Linked DNA regions of Tribolium castaneum. The protein of the gene in region 2 purifies or fractionates together with the protein of the main gene of each other region. This does not show direct contact. Links are inferred from orthologs where the notes say so. Each region holds a gene or a part of one and is shown on either strand. Other genes may lie near its edges.

What was found.
Region 1: the proteins of nonsense-mediated mRNA decay factor SMG7 (region 2) and regulator of nonsense transcripts 1 purify together in Homo sapiens (affinity purification with western blotting; 7 studies listed by BioGRID and IntAct, with this or other methods). This does not show direct contact. The link is inferred for Tribolium castaneum from reciprocal best matches to the Homo sapiens genes SMG7 and UPF1.

Annotation. Positions count from the first base shown.
Region 1 is NC_087397.1:525,707-533,566, forward strand, and holds the start of regulator of nonsense transcripts 1, read left to right. Parts: upstream 1-3,369; 5' UTR 3,370-3,702; coding exon 3,703-3,882; intron 3,883-3,934; coding exon 3,935-4,162; intron 4,163-4,206; coding exon 4,207-4,386; intron 4,387-4,432; coding exon 4,433-4,645; intron 4,646-4,697; coding exon 4,698-5,089; intron 5,090-5,500; coding exon 5,501-6,571; intron 6,572-6,632; coding exon 6,633-7,656; 3' UTR 7,657-7,860. Other genes in the region: sodium channel protein Nach, read right to left, coding at 714-916, 957-1,211, 1,256-1,436, 1,482-1,707, 1,757-1,887, 1,935-2,082, 2,129-2,289, 2,340-2,459. UniProt on the Homo sapiens protein: RNA-dependent helicase required for nonsense-mediated decay (NMD) of aberrant mRNAs containing premature stop codons and modulates the expression level of normal mRNAs.
Region 2 is NC_087397.1:133,452-141,131, forward strand, and holds nonsense-mediated mRNA decay factor SMG7, read left to right. Parts: upstream 1-3,509; 5' UTR 3,510-3,655; coding exon 3,656-3,687; intron 3,688-3,736; coding exon 3,737-3,953; intron 3,954-4,005; coding exon 4,006-4,277; intron 4,278-4,328; coding exon 4,329-4,514; intron 4,515-4,560; coding exon 4,561-4,937; intron 4,938-4,988; coding exon 4,989-5,132; intron 5,133-5,182; coding exon 5,183-5,375; intron 5,376-5,425; coding exon 5,426-5,550; intron 5,551-5,594; coding exon 5,595-5,815; intron 5,816-5,999; coding exon 6,000-6,581; intron 6,582-6,631; coding exon 6,632-6,850; 3' UTR 6,851-6,935; downstream 6,936-7,680. Other genes in the region: Surf4 (surfeit locus protein 4 homolog), read left to right, coding at 1-74, 1,560-1,739, 1,792-1,878; phosphoglycerate mutase 2, read right to left, coding at 258-1,091; iron-sulfur cluster transfer protein NUBPL, read right to left, coding at 2,182-2,716, 2,761-2,926, 2,978-3,119, 3,171-3,254. UniProt on the Homo sapiens protein: Plays a role in nonsense-mediated mRNA decay. Recruits UPF1 to cytoplasmic mRNA decay bodies.

The DNA of each region.
Region 1 (7,860 bases), about 390 kb from region 2:
GGCACAATTAACAACAGAACGATTATTTACGATACATGGTGATGGTCAACAACCTCTAATAATTAATTTTGTAACAACAAAGTAACAGAAATGCTCCAATTAGCCATCTTCAGTGCCAGCCGTTCTAACTTTCGTTTTTCTTGTTTCCTCATTCATTGGTGGTTCGTGAGTACTTTTAAAACGATTCTTCCTGTTATCCATTGTTCTCGCTAAACAATTAACAAATTATCGTGATCATCCAATTCGGAACAGTTTGGAAATATTCAAAACTTTGCTAATTACTCTAGAAAAATGTCGTAACCACGTCCACATTTCGTAATGTGATTCCGTCCCAAACAATAGACTTTCTTTCGCTCTCTTGTGATAAATCCTGTTAGTTGCGTAAGTTTGCTTCGAAAAATGTGCGACGACAAATTATTACAAGGAAAACAGTTATCTGTAGGTAAATAATCGCGTGATGCAGACAGACGTTGGACTTTTATTAAAAGGCAACAATGGATTATTAGCCTTGTCTCAATTCCCATCTCAACGTAGCCGTCTGGAACATGAATAATTCAAAATTTATTTCCCAGAATGCTAATTGAGGCCTTGACGCGCCAAGATTTTTCTTCTTTCATCGAAAAAAATTAAAAAAACGTGAAAGTCGTGTGTGATTTACTGCAGTTATTGTGAGAGCTGGAAGAAAGCATTTCACGCCTCATTAAAAGCTGCACCTAATTGACAAATTCATACAAAGTGCCGTACTTATAATAAAACGAATCTAAATTATTATCAATCTCTGATTTTTTTATTTCTTTGTTCCTTTCATGTTTTATGTATTTGTCGCCAAGCGGACGCACGAAAAAATAATAAATAATCTCGACCACTGTGAGCAAACTTGCACCCACAAACAAACCAACAGAACCACCAACTGAAACTAGAACCAATTTGGTAATCAATTTAAATTTTAAATTTACCAAGCATGGTAAGTGGCGTTTTCACCACACTTCGGCTGTAACGTAAAGTCGGAGGATAAACGATAAAGTCAATTCGAACCTGGCTTTTGTCATTTCGGAACTGACTCGAGTGTATTGGAGTTTTTGTAAAGCCAATATTGACGACTTCAACGTCGGAGCAAGAACTCGTACAACTGCAAGAAGTTGTTTTCTCCTTAACTTTCTTGTTATCAATTGTGCACAAAAGCCCCTCAAAATCACAGTCTTTGACTTGATCTAGAAAGTAGTTTTAATTAATAGTTTATGAACCGACTTGTTACCATTGTGTGGTAAAATGTGATAAGTGCAATTGCAAATCTCCCTTTGGGCTTCAACAAGACATTCGTTCACGCAAGCTGAAGTACTGTACAATTTTGCATGTTGCAAGTTATTTTCATCGTAAAATCGACAACCACGATTTGCGATTTTCATCAACCTGGCGGCTTCGTCCGTGAAAGTTTCCTTTGTAACAATTGTAAAACAGTCACTCAAATGTAATCAATTTACTTTAACTGATAAAAACGCCTTGTAGGCTGTTTTAGCAACAATTCCCGAGCTTGTGCGTGAATCTAGCAACACAAACTCGCTGGAACTTTCCTTAGTAGGGACGGAGTCTTGGCTCAACCCATACACAATGAACCCATCATGGTACAGCTCAACTGATAAGTTGCCATAACCGAAATTTGAGTCGCGCGTTATTTTGAAAGGGAGGTCTTCCCGACTTGTGTATTTTCTAATAAAAATTATTTTTAAATTTGTTTGGTGAAATAAAAGGCAAGTACCCTGAAACCAGAGAATTGAAGCCAAAGCAAGGCCCGTGGTAAGTGTCAATGGGCAAGAATTCGTCACAGCAGGGAAATTCTTCGTTGTTGTAAAAGCACGAACTAATTGCTTCCGAACAAGTGCTGCGGAACTGCAATTAAACGAGTGCAGTTATGTTAACTGGGAAAATACCACAACCTTATGCATGTATTGCGAGTAATTTGTTAGCAAGCATTTGTCACGTAGAGCACCATTTGGTTGGCAAACTTGCGTGTGTCTTATGGAACCGTCGAAGAAAACGAAGGTTTCGAGTTTGGGGAACTGTTGAGATATGGAACCGAAAATTCTTCGAGCAGAGAGAGTTATAACAAAGAAAATCACAATTAACTTACTTCTTGTTAGCTTCGAGCATTTTTTTTGGATTTGATCGTTCGCAAATAACAATTGAAGGAAAGTTTGTTTGCCAATTTAAGTAAGATGTGTCCACTGAAAAGGATATTTTTTGGTTTTGATACTGGTCTAGTGCGTTAAACATTAGCATAATCGATGCGGCCTGTGAATCTATTTTATTGTGGTAAAAATTTGACGATTTGTGGGATTTACCCAAGAAGTTAGGACACATATTGTCCAAAAAAATCTTTCAGTCCAGTGGAATCTCTTATCAGCTATGAAATGCAAGCCATGTAGAGACGTGTTTAAGAAATATTTTGTAACAATACTCATTGTAGTGTAGTTGGGAATTTGTAATCAATACTATTTATGAGTTGGGTCATAATGCAGTAAAACTTTAATAAATTATTAATAGATGTGTTGAATTGTCGCTGTACAAAAACCTAATAAAAAGTTAACAGTTTTCAAACTATCAATTATATCATCGTAATATTTATTATGTATCTGTGGGAAACCAGAATGATACGTGAGCATTTAAGTAACCGCAAGCTACTTAAACATGAGAAGAATTAAAAAATAAGGAGTGCCAGTTGTAATAAAGAGCATGTGTGATTTCTATTAATTTAATAAAATACAGTCATTTCTTGATAATGTTTTTATTGAGTCCACGTTCTATTTTTATGGATAAAGTTTGTAATAGCAATATCAAATTCAATAATCATAAATCATAATAATTTCGCCATTTTTCGTCCATTTTTAATTTAATAATTAGGTAGGCAAAACCAAATGCTCAGTTGTTTTATTGGTCATCTACTCAATAAACTTATTACGTTTTTTAGTTTTATTTATTTCGACAAAAACATTCGTAAATTTACGTTCTTTTAAAACGAACATCATTTTATGTTTTTGACTTATTACCGATAAAATTTCACTGAAAAATCGGCTGTTTTTGAAAAATGTGTTTTTTTTATTTTGATATGCCTCTTTTTTGCAGTCATGTGTTGAATGTTGAATAAAAACCGAAAAATCAATAAACTTTATGCTATAATTTTATAATAAAAATAATGTTTAAATGTAAAATTTACAAAAAAGTGAAAAATCAAATCATAAAGTGACGCAGCCTTAGCCACTTCTACAATCAAACATATGCTTATCTCTCTTTAACTTAAAAGATTGCGATACGTGTCTCACTCCGATAAGATGGTAACCACAATGATAACACCGTGCCAACCAACGAAAAAAAGCTTAGGGATTAAATTAGACAATAAGGTTGTGCAATAATCTATTTCCTAAACCACTTTTTAATTTTGAGGCCATAAAAAAGATCAGTGCGCTAAAAACTGAAAAAGATAGCACGAGTGTTTAAGTTTCCCGCTCCGTCAATTATGCTTCGGAAAGAGAAATGACGATAAAAAAACAAATGATTAATCAGGAAAATATGGCGCTTGCCAGGAGAAAAATGTAGAAATTTTAAAGTAACCATAGTCGAGTTGTCATCAATTGAAGTGTTAAAAGTGTTTCATCAGTAAACGTGAATAAACCCGTGCTTCAATTCGTTCGCGACGAAATCTCCAAGATGAGTGTCGACGCATACGGCCCCAGTTCGCAAACTCTCACGTTTTTAGAGACCGAAGAAAACGACTTGATCGGGGCTGACACCCAAGGATCCGAATGCGAATTCACCGATTTCACAATTCCATCGCAAACGCAAGCCTCGCAGCACGACCACGCGGGCCCCAAAGTTTCCGGTGTACAGGTTAGTGCAAGGTCGCCCCCTGGTTCAGTGTCGTATGACGTTGTTGTTTTAGCTCAACAACAACATCAACAACAAAATCGCCAATGCGACGAGTGCTTTAGGGGAACTGCAATTCGAGGAAGAGGATGAGGAGTATTTCAACAGCAAGGAGCTCCCGAACTACGCGTGCAAGTACTGCGGCATTCATGAGCCGAATTGCGTTGTCATGTGCAACTGCTGCAAAAAGTGGTTTTGTAACGGGAGAGGAAACACCTCAGGAAGCCACATAATCAACCATTTGGTGAGGAATTTCAACTTGGAAACTGTTTTTTGATTGGGGTTTAGGTCCGAGCCAAACACAAGGAAGTGACCTTACACAAGGACGGCCCTTTGGGCGAGACAATCCTTGAATGTTACAGTTGTGGCGTCCGCAATGTTTTTGTTTTGGGGTTCATTCCTGCCAAAGCTGACTCTGTTGTGGTGCTACTTTGCCGCCAACCTTGTGCCGCCCAAAACTCACTTAAAGTAAGTCATTGCTTTTAAAATAGGACAGTTTTCAAGCTTTTAATAGGACATGAACTGGGATCAAGACCAATGGAAACCACTCATTACCGACCGGTGTTTTCTCACATGGCTTGTAAAAATACCATCAGAACAGGAACAACTGCGAGCGCGCCAAATCTCAGCCCAACAAATCAACAAACTTGAAGAACTTTGGAAAGATAATGTTGATGCCACGTTCCAGGATTTGGAACGGCCAGGAGTTGACGAAGAACCGCAACAAGTTAGTCTTGTTTGCACAGTTCTAACGTATTTATTATAATTTTTTTTGGTAGGTTTTATTGCGATATGAGGACGGTTATCAGTACCAAAACATTTTTGGTCCTCTTGTTAAGCTTGAAGCTGATTATGATAAAAGATTGAAGGAGTCTCAGACTCAGGAAAATATTGAAGTTAGGTGGGATGTGGGTTTGAATAAGAAAACAATTGCGTATTTTACTCTTGCTAAAACTGACGGGGATATGAAATTAATGCACGGAGATGAGTTGAGACTTAGATACGTGGGAGAAATGCATAAATCATGGGCGGGGGTGGGACACGTTATCAAAGTTCCTGATAATTACGGAGAGGATATTGGCATTGAGTTGAAGAACGGAAATGGGGCTCCCACCGATTGTAACAGCAACTTTGTGGTGGATTTCATTTGGAAAAGTACCAGTTTTGACAGGTAAATTTCGTTGTTGTGATAGAAACAGAAATAATCACGTTAATCTCTTTATGTATCACATTTTTTATTTATTTTTTTAATTAATGTTTTACTGTTAGTAGTCAAACGTTGAAAGTACCATTGTTATAAACTTTCACATTAAATATAAGTATAATATTACAATCAAACTTTATTTTAAAAATCACAGTAATTAAAAAAAAAGCATGAGAGAAGTGACGCATTTTCACTTCTTATTTCCGAATGTTAAAAAAATCTTTGTAAGATGTTAATTTTAAGCGTTGATATTTCAAGCTATATTAATGTGGTAATTTTTTTATAAGGTTTCTAAGAATATTTAATTAAAAAAATAATTATGTGAAAACAAGTTTTCACGTCGTTTTTTTCTGAGCTCGCCTTTATTGTTAATTGCAGGATGCAACTCGCCTTGCGAAAATTCGCCGTTGACGATACATCCGTTTCCGCCTACATCTACCACCGCCTCCTCGGCCACGAGGTCGAAGAGGTCCTTTTCCGTTGTCACCTCCCTAAACATTTTTCGGCACCTAATCTTCCCGACTTGAACCGTTCGCAAGTCTACGCCGTCAAACATGCCCTCCAGCGTCCACTCTCCCTCATCCAAGGTCCTCCCGGAACGGGAAAAACCGTAACTTCCGCCACCATCGTCTATCAATTGGTGAAACAAAACGGCGGTCCAGTCCTAGTCTGTGCTCCCAGTAATACGGCAGTTGACCAACTTACCGAAAAAATTCACAAAACTAATCTAAAAGTTGTAAGATTGTGTGCGAAATCACGCGAAGCGATTGATTCGCCTGTGAGTTTTCTTGCATTGCATAATCAGATACGTAAAATGGAAGCCAATACTGAACTCCAGAAGTTGCAACAGTTGAAAGATGAGACTGGAGAGTTGAGTTCAGTTGATGAGAAACGATACAGAATGTTGAAAAAATTGGCTGAGAAAGAATTACTCGAAGCTGCCGATGTTATTTGTTGTACTTGTGTGGGGGCAGGTGATCCACGATTGGTTCGTTTGAAATTTCATTCGATTCTGATTGATGAAAGTATGCAAGCGACTGAACCCGAATGTATGGTACCGGTGGTACTAGGAGTGAAACAATTGATTTTGGTTGGTGATCATTGTCAGTTGGGTCCAGTTGTTATGTGTAAGAAAGCAGCAAGGGCTGGATTGTCCCAAAGTTTGTTTGAGAGGTTGGTGGTATTGGGAATTCGACCGTTTCGCTTGGAAGTACAATACAGGATGCATCCAGAATTGTCGCGTTTTCCCTCCAATTTTTTCTATGAAGGGAGTTTGCAAAATGGAGTTTGTGCCGATGAAAGGAAGTTGAACAAGATTGATTTTCCATGGCCGGTTATTGACAGGCCCATGTTTTTCCACGTGACCCAAGGGCAGGAGGAAATTGCCGGGTCTGGGACTAGTTATCTGAACCGAACTGAGGCAGCTAATGTCGAAAAGATCGCCACTAGGTACGAAAATCATTTGGTTTTTTTTCTGTTTGCCTATTTTTTTTAATTTGCTTTTTTACAGATTTTTGCGGTCGGGAGTTAAACCGGAACAGATCGGTGTTATAACCCCATATGAAGGTCAGCGAGCTTACTTGGTCCAATACATGCAGTACCAAGGCTCACTTCATAGTAAGACTTATCAAGAAATTGAAATTGCAAGTGTCGATGCGTTCCAAGGACGTGAAAAAGATATAATTATAATGTCATGTGTGCGTTCAAATGAACATCAAGGAATTGGATTTTTAAACGATCCTCGACGTCTCAACGTTGCATTAACTCGCGCTAAATACGGAATAATAATAGTCGGGAACCCGAAAGTACTATCAAAACAACCACTCTGGAACCATCTTTTGTCGTTCTACAAAGAACAGAAAGTCCTAGTTGAGGGACCTTTGACAAACTTGAAGGAGTCGCTGATTCAGTTTGCAAAACCGAAAAAACTGACAAATTCGGATAATCCGGGCTCGCATTTCATGACGACTTCGATGTTTGATGCCCGGGAGGCAATGGTACCTGGCTCGATTTATGACAGGACTAATACTGCCATTAATGGCCAGTTTAATTATCCTCGTGGGGCTGTTCCATTGGATATCTTTAGTAGGACTCACGACCCGATTAGTTACATTTCTCAAGAGAGGGCTCAAGCTGGCATGAATTTGCCGGTTCCAGTTGGCGTGTTTATGAATATGGCCGATGTTCCGCCACGTTTTTACAACCAGCACCAGCAGGCCATGCAAGCGCGCCAACAGCAGAATTCCCGCACTCGCAAACCGACAATGCGCCAGAAGGGCAAGACTTTGAGTCAGGAGCAGACTCAGCCGTTCAGTCAGAGTTTGCAATTGACTCAGGGAATGTCTCAGCCTGGGTTATCCCAGCCCGGGTTCAGTCTATCGCAGCCTGGACTGAGTCAACCGGAGCTCAGTCAGGACCCATATATGGCAGAGTATCAGTCACAGATGGACGGCTTGTTGTCACAAGACTCGACCTATCAGGGAGACCGATCGGCATTCTATCAGCCAAACGCTCAGTTCTCCCAACCATATTGATCACGTTTACACGGAGATGTTTAAAAAAATCGCGGGAGCGGTTAATGAAAATTTGTAAGTGGTTGATCTGATTGTCGATTGTCAAATTATCAGTAACGCAGCACACACAGGTCCATGACGTCGAATACCGATTGAGTAATAACAGAGAAAGTTCAATGTCATGACGCACCTTTGTGATGAGATCAGACGACTTCTACAATCGTG
Region 2 (7,680 bases):
TGCAACTGACAGGACGTATTTTACTCGCCTTCATGTTCATCACACTGATACGCTTTGAACTCAGCTTTTTACAGGTAACTATTATTTAATTCAAGTTGGCAACATTGATCCGATTGACCGTTAAATGCAAACGTCAAGGTGGCCAATATTTTTTTACAAATTTGACGTGGAATCACTGACTCAGCACATTTGTTTACACAAACATGATAATAATTATTAAGCAAATCGTTGTTTATAGAAAATAACATTGTATATAATTATTTGGCTTTTCCTTGGTTGGCTACGGCTTCCATGGCCTTCTTGACCGTTTCTGGATCGCCTAAAAATTGCAAACTGCCTCCCTGTGCTGGTTTCATGTTCTCTTGCAGCATATAAACGAATGGAATTCCAGTCGGTAGATTAAGTCCCATTATTTGTTCATCATTAAGTTGATCTAAATGTTTGACGATTCCTCTTAGACTATTTCCGTGCGCTGCAATCAGAATTCTTTTCCCGGCTTTAATTTGTGGTACAATAGTTTCGTTCCAAAAGGGCAAAGTTCGTTCAATTGTCAATTTGAGCGATTCAAATTTGGGGAATTGTTCAGGAGGCGGTCCGTTTTTGTATCTCGGATCGCATACGATGTCTTTATAGTGTGGATGGTCATTTTCCATGGGGGGCGGCGGTACGTCAAAACTCCGCCTCCAAATGGCCACTTGTTGTTCGCCGTATTTGGCGGCAGTTTCAGTTTTGTTAAGGCCGGTTAATGCGCCGTAATGACGCTCATTGAGACGCCATGTCGTTTGAATGGGAATATCGCATTGATTTAGCGTTTTTAAGATAATCTGAAGAGTGTCTTGTGCTCGACTTAGGACCGAAGTGTAAGCTTGGTCGAATTTATAGCCGGCGTCTTTGAGGGTTTTGCCGGCGTTTGCCGCTTCTTGTTTACCTTTTTCGCTCAATTTTGCGTCGTACCAACCACAAAAAAGGTTTTTTTGGTTCCATTCTGATTCGCCGTGACGGACCATTACGATTTTATACGGTGCCATTGTACTGTAATTTACTAGAAATTGTGACAGTTTGGGTAATTTACGTGACACGAGTTTTTCCATGATTGCTTGTTTTTATTTTATCATTTAGTATTATTATTCAACGATTTTTTTGGGAGTTGTCCCACAACTATTTTGAAAGGCAGAAAAACAAAACTTAGTAACAAAAAGTAGGAACTCTTTATTTTATTGTGAATTTTAAAATTCCAGACTGTATCGTTTGTGTCTAAACACTTTTGAAAATAACTGTATTCTTTATTTAACATTTTGCACACCAGATTTGAACGTTGGGTATACGACGTGGTTGGTTGTAACTTGAAGACCAACTTAAATTTTTCAGATGAAAATTACCACCAACCGTGATTAAAAAAATACTATTTATGGTAATGCCAACCTGTTGATAATGAAAAAGAATCAATTATAACTTTTTAGTATTCTTTGAGTAGGTATTATGTTTTCTAATATCTTAACAATTTAATTTAATTTTTTCTCTTGTCATTATTATTATTTTGTTACAATAATTATTTTCAGATTTTGTTGGATTTGTTGGGATCAGCACTTATGGTTTTAGTGACAGTAGGGTACAAAACGAAATTATCAGCGCTAATTTTGGTTTTGTTACTCACAACGTTGAACTTTTATCATAATGCTTGGTGGAACATTCCGTCGTATAAGCCATTACGTGATTTTTTGAAGTATGACTTCTTCCAGGTGAGCGCAACATTTAAGTATCTATGTAATTATACATTTTCTTGATTTTTAGACTTTGTCGGTGATTGGTGGTCTTCTCATGATTGTATATTTAGGTCCAGGAGGGGTTTCAATGGACGAGCACAAAAAACGATGGTAATTTAAGTTATTTAGTGAGCAAAATTATTGTGACTGAACAATTTCATTTTTAAAGAATTTTCCTATTTTCTATTACTGTCTTTATTAATTGATTGTATGAAGTTGTATTTTTAATAATTTAAAAGAAAAATGTACATAATGTGTAATTTATTTAAGTTTCATTATGACCAACCACAAAAAACAAAACGTACGTACTTGGATACAAAAATATATGCTCAACTATACTTCCATCGTTATGATTTAAATGTATTTTAAGTAGGTTTTATTATGGGTTGTTGCAAGGATTAATAAAACATATTTTTCACTATTCATTGTTTCGTTCCAAAAAATCTACAACTTTTTTTGCTAAATTTACAAACAAATCAGTTTGACAACTACGCGGATATTTTATCACAGTGGGCGTACCTTGATCAGTACTTGACGAAATATTCTGGTCCAATGGAAAGCTTTGAATAATGTCAGTACCTATTTCATTGGCCAAATTTGAAGTTCCCGCTCCGAAAATTTGAACAGTGTTATGACAAGAAGGACAAGTCACTGACGACATATTTTCCACTAAACCAATAATAGGAACGGATAATTTTTTATACATCGCAGCTCCGCGTTTTGTGACGTCAAGAGCAGCCAATTGTGGCGTTGTAATAAGAATGACGCCCGATATTGGAATATTTTGAACCAATGAGAGATGAGTATCGCCAGTCCCTGGAGGCGTGTCCACAATTAGATAATCAATACGCCCCCAATAAACTTGTCTCAACAATTTCTCTAAAGCTTGCATCACCATAAGACCTCTCCAAATCACAGGCGTACCTTCAGCTATCAAAAAACCCATTGACATACTATGAAAAAAACAAAATAAACACTCATTCTATTCGAAATCTACCATTTTATGCCGTAATTCGTAAGGGGCAACATTTGATTTTTATCATTTAATAAAGGTGTTTCGTGCAGATTCATCATTAAAGGAATTGAAGGACCAAACACATCACAATCCAACAAACCAATATTCTTATCTGGATATGCAAATTTTAGCGCAGCTGCAAGATTTACTAAAAATTAAATCTATTTTAACCTCATTAAGCGCCATGAAAAATAAAAACCTGAAGTCGTGCTTTTACCAACACCCCCTTTCCCAGACGACACTAAAATTGTGTGTTTGACCCCTTCAATTGGCTTTTTCACCGGAAGACCTTTACCTAGTATTTTTGTCTGGTGTTGTGTTAAATGCGTACGATTAAAAGTCTACAAAAAAAGTTTTATTTTAAATCATGGTCGAGTCGAGTGTGACATAACCTTAAAAAAGGTATTACTAAAAAGAACCGTGTTTTTAAACGGTATTTTAAAAGTTGCCATTTTAGTAAATAGCTGCGCTACCATTTACCAATCAATTAATTATTTTTCCAAAAACTGAAAAATCCAAAATAATGTGACAAGCCAAAAGAACTATCACGACATTACAACTACAATGTAGGAATTATTATTAAATCGAAAATTGGGTACAATTATTAATTAATTACCAATTATTGTTTTTTTTTTATAATGTTTTTTATGTAAAAAGCTTCAAATAAAAAAATTTGATATCTTAAGTGAAATTATAAAAACGAAAAGTAGTTGCAATGTCGCATTCAAACTTCATCTTAACCTCAAACTCGCAAAATTGTTGATTTCAGGTACACATTTTCGCTTTTAATTTATTCCAGTGATGGATATTCATGATATCAGGTCATACCCAATAATTTCTACACCTTGATACATTTACCCAAACTATCAAATTGAGAATGGGTTATAAAGCAGCTGTTCAAATTCTAAAGTACGTTGCTCAAAAAACTAATTCATTTTTACATCAACTCATATTTCAGACAAGCCGAAGACTTAAAAACCAAGGTATTAAAAAAAAGCGATTTATTATCGGATTCGCAAGCATGGACGGACCAACAGAAATTGCAAAATATTTACCATCAAGCATTGGTACTTGATTTGGAATACGCTCTCGACAAGAAAGTGGAGCAAGACTTGTGGAACATTGGTTTTAAGAATCACATCTCGGTGTTACAAGAGTTGACTCGCGATAAAAAAGTTAGTAATAATATTTTGCGATTTGTGTTGTTAGTTTAATTAAATTATTCAGAACGTCAGAAGATCTGAATGTCAGGCACTTTTAACTTGGTGTTTAGAAGCGGCTTCTGGGTTTTATTTGACACTTTTGCACGAATTGTGCAACGTATATGACATTGATTTACCGTTCAGAAGACGCGGAAATGTTTATGGGGAAACAAATTCAAATGAACTCAATTTGCCTCAATCGTCCTCCTGTGTGTACATTTGCCAATACTGCTTGGTACATTTGGGAGATATTGCACGTTATAGAAACCAAAGAAAGCAAGCTGAAAATTTTTACAAGTACTTATTATTTTTTTTTTTTTGGGTCCCCATTTTATAATTTTATTTCAGGCAAGCAATTTTAGTTTCTCCAACTAGTGGTCATCCTTACAATCAGTTGGCTCTTTTGGAGGCAAGTCAAGGTGATAAATTATCAACTGTCTTTTATTACATTAGGGGCATTGCTGTGAAAAATCCCTTCCCAGCATCCACCACTAATCTATTAAGCACTTTAAGTTCGTCGCTTGATAAAGAAAGGTAATTAGATTAGAAAAGTAATTCTCAAGTAAAAAATAAATTTTAGTCCATTAGAAAAAATTCACAGTAAAATAACGGTAACCGAGTTTATTCAAATTTTTTTGTGCACTCACGCCCTCTTGCACACTGCCACCGATTTAAACCAAGCTGAAGTCGGGGTTAAAAGTTTAAATACAACAATGACAGCTTTAGTAGCGACTCAAAGTTTTACAAGAGAGAAATTAATAAAAATTACTGCGATTAATTTGTACGCTTTAAAACATGTAACTTCAACATCACTCACTGATGAATTAACCGAAGATGAAAAAATTGTCAGACAACAAATTTTGGATTTGTTGGCTGGGTCTTTGAGCGCGTTTCTTATTCCAGTTCATACGCTAAAAAATGACGAAAGCTTGTTGGATTATTACGCACTTCCTGCAGGTACGACAAACATTGTGGCGTTTTTTTTAAATTTTAATTATTTTTATTTAGTGAAACTTTTAACATGTTGGATTATGAACGAATCGGAAATTCTTAACGAAGTTGTTTTTACTAATCGGTTGCAAATTTGGCCCAGTTTGTGCAAACTTTTGAATAACGTACAGCAATACATGAAAAACTTTGACTACACCAAATGTAAGTTGCGTAATTATGAGTGACTTTTTTTAATAAAACATAACTGGTAGATGCCAATGTGCCTCTGTTTGAAGATAAATTGTTGCAAGGCTTTCGGCCTTTGATAAAAAATTTCAAAGAGTTGGATTTTAAGGCGGGTGTCGAGGATGAAAAAACTGATAATTTAATCCGAATGCAGCGTTTGATTGATTTTGGTTTATTTATCAGCAAGTTGGATGTGAATCATACGAAATTAATTACGACGTAAGTCGTTTTCTTTTCATAAGTTTTGAAATATAAAATTCAATTTGTAGAAGTACCGAAAGTGATTTAATTAATTTTGAACCTGGATGCATTCAGCCAGACCCAACTAATGACTTATTGGAGGAAATGAAATCATTTCATGTCACTGATATTTCAACAATTCCTAATAAAAAAGGTGCGTGAAATTGTGTTTTTTACTAAAAGTGACGTTTCAAGTAGGTTTTGAAAAACGGGGCGGTATTTTAAAACCACAAGGTTCCTTGGAAAAATCGCGCGAAGAACGCGAATTATTATCATCGGGAGAACAAAGTCTCATGTCCGATTTAAGTAATTCAAGTGCGTCCTCAAGTAGTAGCAAAAAAGACATTTCAAAAAATAAACGATCCAAGCAAAACATTGCTCTGCAGTCGATTTTTAAAAAACTGGAAGAGAATAAACAGGTAGGTCGTTGCTTCTTTTTGTTCATTATTTTTTTAAAACAATTGTCAACTAACAACGAACTAGTATGAACCACTTAAATCTACTAGTTGTTTCAAGCTCATTAGGTTGGCAACGTGTTATATGGCAATTGTTTAAAAAAAAATTGGAGATTTTAATGCACCAAGAACACTTGATTATCCTTAGGTGAAATTTAAAGTTGAAGAAAAAGAAAAATTGGTGACTTTTGACACAAAGCCTTCTCCGTTTAATCCCCCTTTGCGAACCCAATCCTTCAACCAGAACCATCCAGCTTTCCCTATTCCTCCTCCTCCTCCTCCCAGCCAACCTGATTACCTCAATACTCTCCGGAACGTAACGAAACCTCCACAGCCAAATTCATTTGTTTTCCCTCCCAAAACTGAGAATCCATCAATGGTTCCATTTCAAAATAATTTCAATCAGCGTGTCTATCAATTTCCCGGGGGAAACCCCTACAAAATGGAGGAAACGAATTCGCCTTGGTGGCCCAACACGTCACAGAATTACCAACAACGACCTGATAGTTTCGTAAATTATCCCTTTAGCAATAATATGCCCTATGTGCCCGATTATAATAAGACGCAAAATAATCAAGCAGCCGGCGATATGTTTAATTCACCATGGAATACTTTTGGAAGGACTAACTTACTTGAAAGCAACATGAATTATGAAAATTTGTCGATGAGACAGACGATGCTTAAAGAGGCGACACCACCTTCAAGACCTGTAAGTTTGGAGAAAAAAAATGTATGCGACACGTGCACAAAATATATATATATATGCATTTTTTTTTGAAGAGTCATGATAATTTCATGCAAAATCCCACAACATCTCCTGGTTATTCATTGTTTAATACCAACACTTGGACGCCGAATTTAGTTGGACAGTTGAGGAATAACAAGGCACAGGATAATCAAGTGAGTCATTTGCCTCAACATTCCTTGTTTACTGGACAAGGACCCCAATCGTTAGCCCAATTATTGGAACAGCAACAATCGCAAAAAAGTGATGTTTAGTTTTATAGATAGGTGTATTATAGTAGTTACTTGGTCATAGTGAAATAATGGATTCGTAACAGTTAATAAATCAGTTTTGTTTTTATTTATGTTTTTTTTTACACGCTCCTTAAAATAGTTACTTTGGGAACTGCTTTGCCTCCACAAAATGTCATTTTAAAGGACAAGTACATAAAGTCGTCGTAGCAACACTTTGCGGACTCTAATTTATTTATTATTTGACAAAAGAATAATTATTGTTTCAATAAATCAGTCGTCGCTATGACCATCGATCGACTGCACTTATGATGAAGGTGGATTGTAAACGTAAAGAATTTTACAATTTTGTTCGTTTTAGAGAACTGGTACCAAAAGTTTGTATGCAACACTTCCGCAAAATAGTTTTAGCGGGCTCATCTCATTAATCCGATTTGTCCGCTAAAACTCTATTTTGCGTACTTGTTACATAAATAACTATTAAATATGAACCCACTATAAAACTCGCATAACTTAAGAACAAGACAAATTGAAACCAGATAATTTATTCACTCAAAACATTACATCACAATTGAAATAAATAGTAAATTTTATACAGTTTTTACTAACAATTCCATAGTGCTGTGGTTAGTTATTCAACTGCCAATAAAGAAATGTGAAATAAATAAAAAAATGACAACATTTAAGGAATTGTAGATTTCCAGTCCGCATAGTCTGATATAAAATTTTCTAAACATAGATTTATGTACAAAAACGTGTTTTTCTCCTACTTGGCACCAAGGATAGTCTTTAGGGAAATTACACGTCTATTAAAAAATTCCATTCTTGTGTTAATTCTAAAAGCAAGAATAATA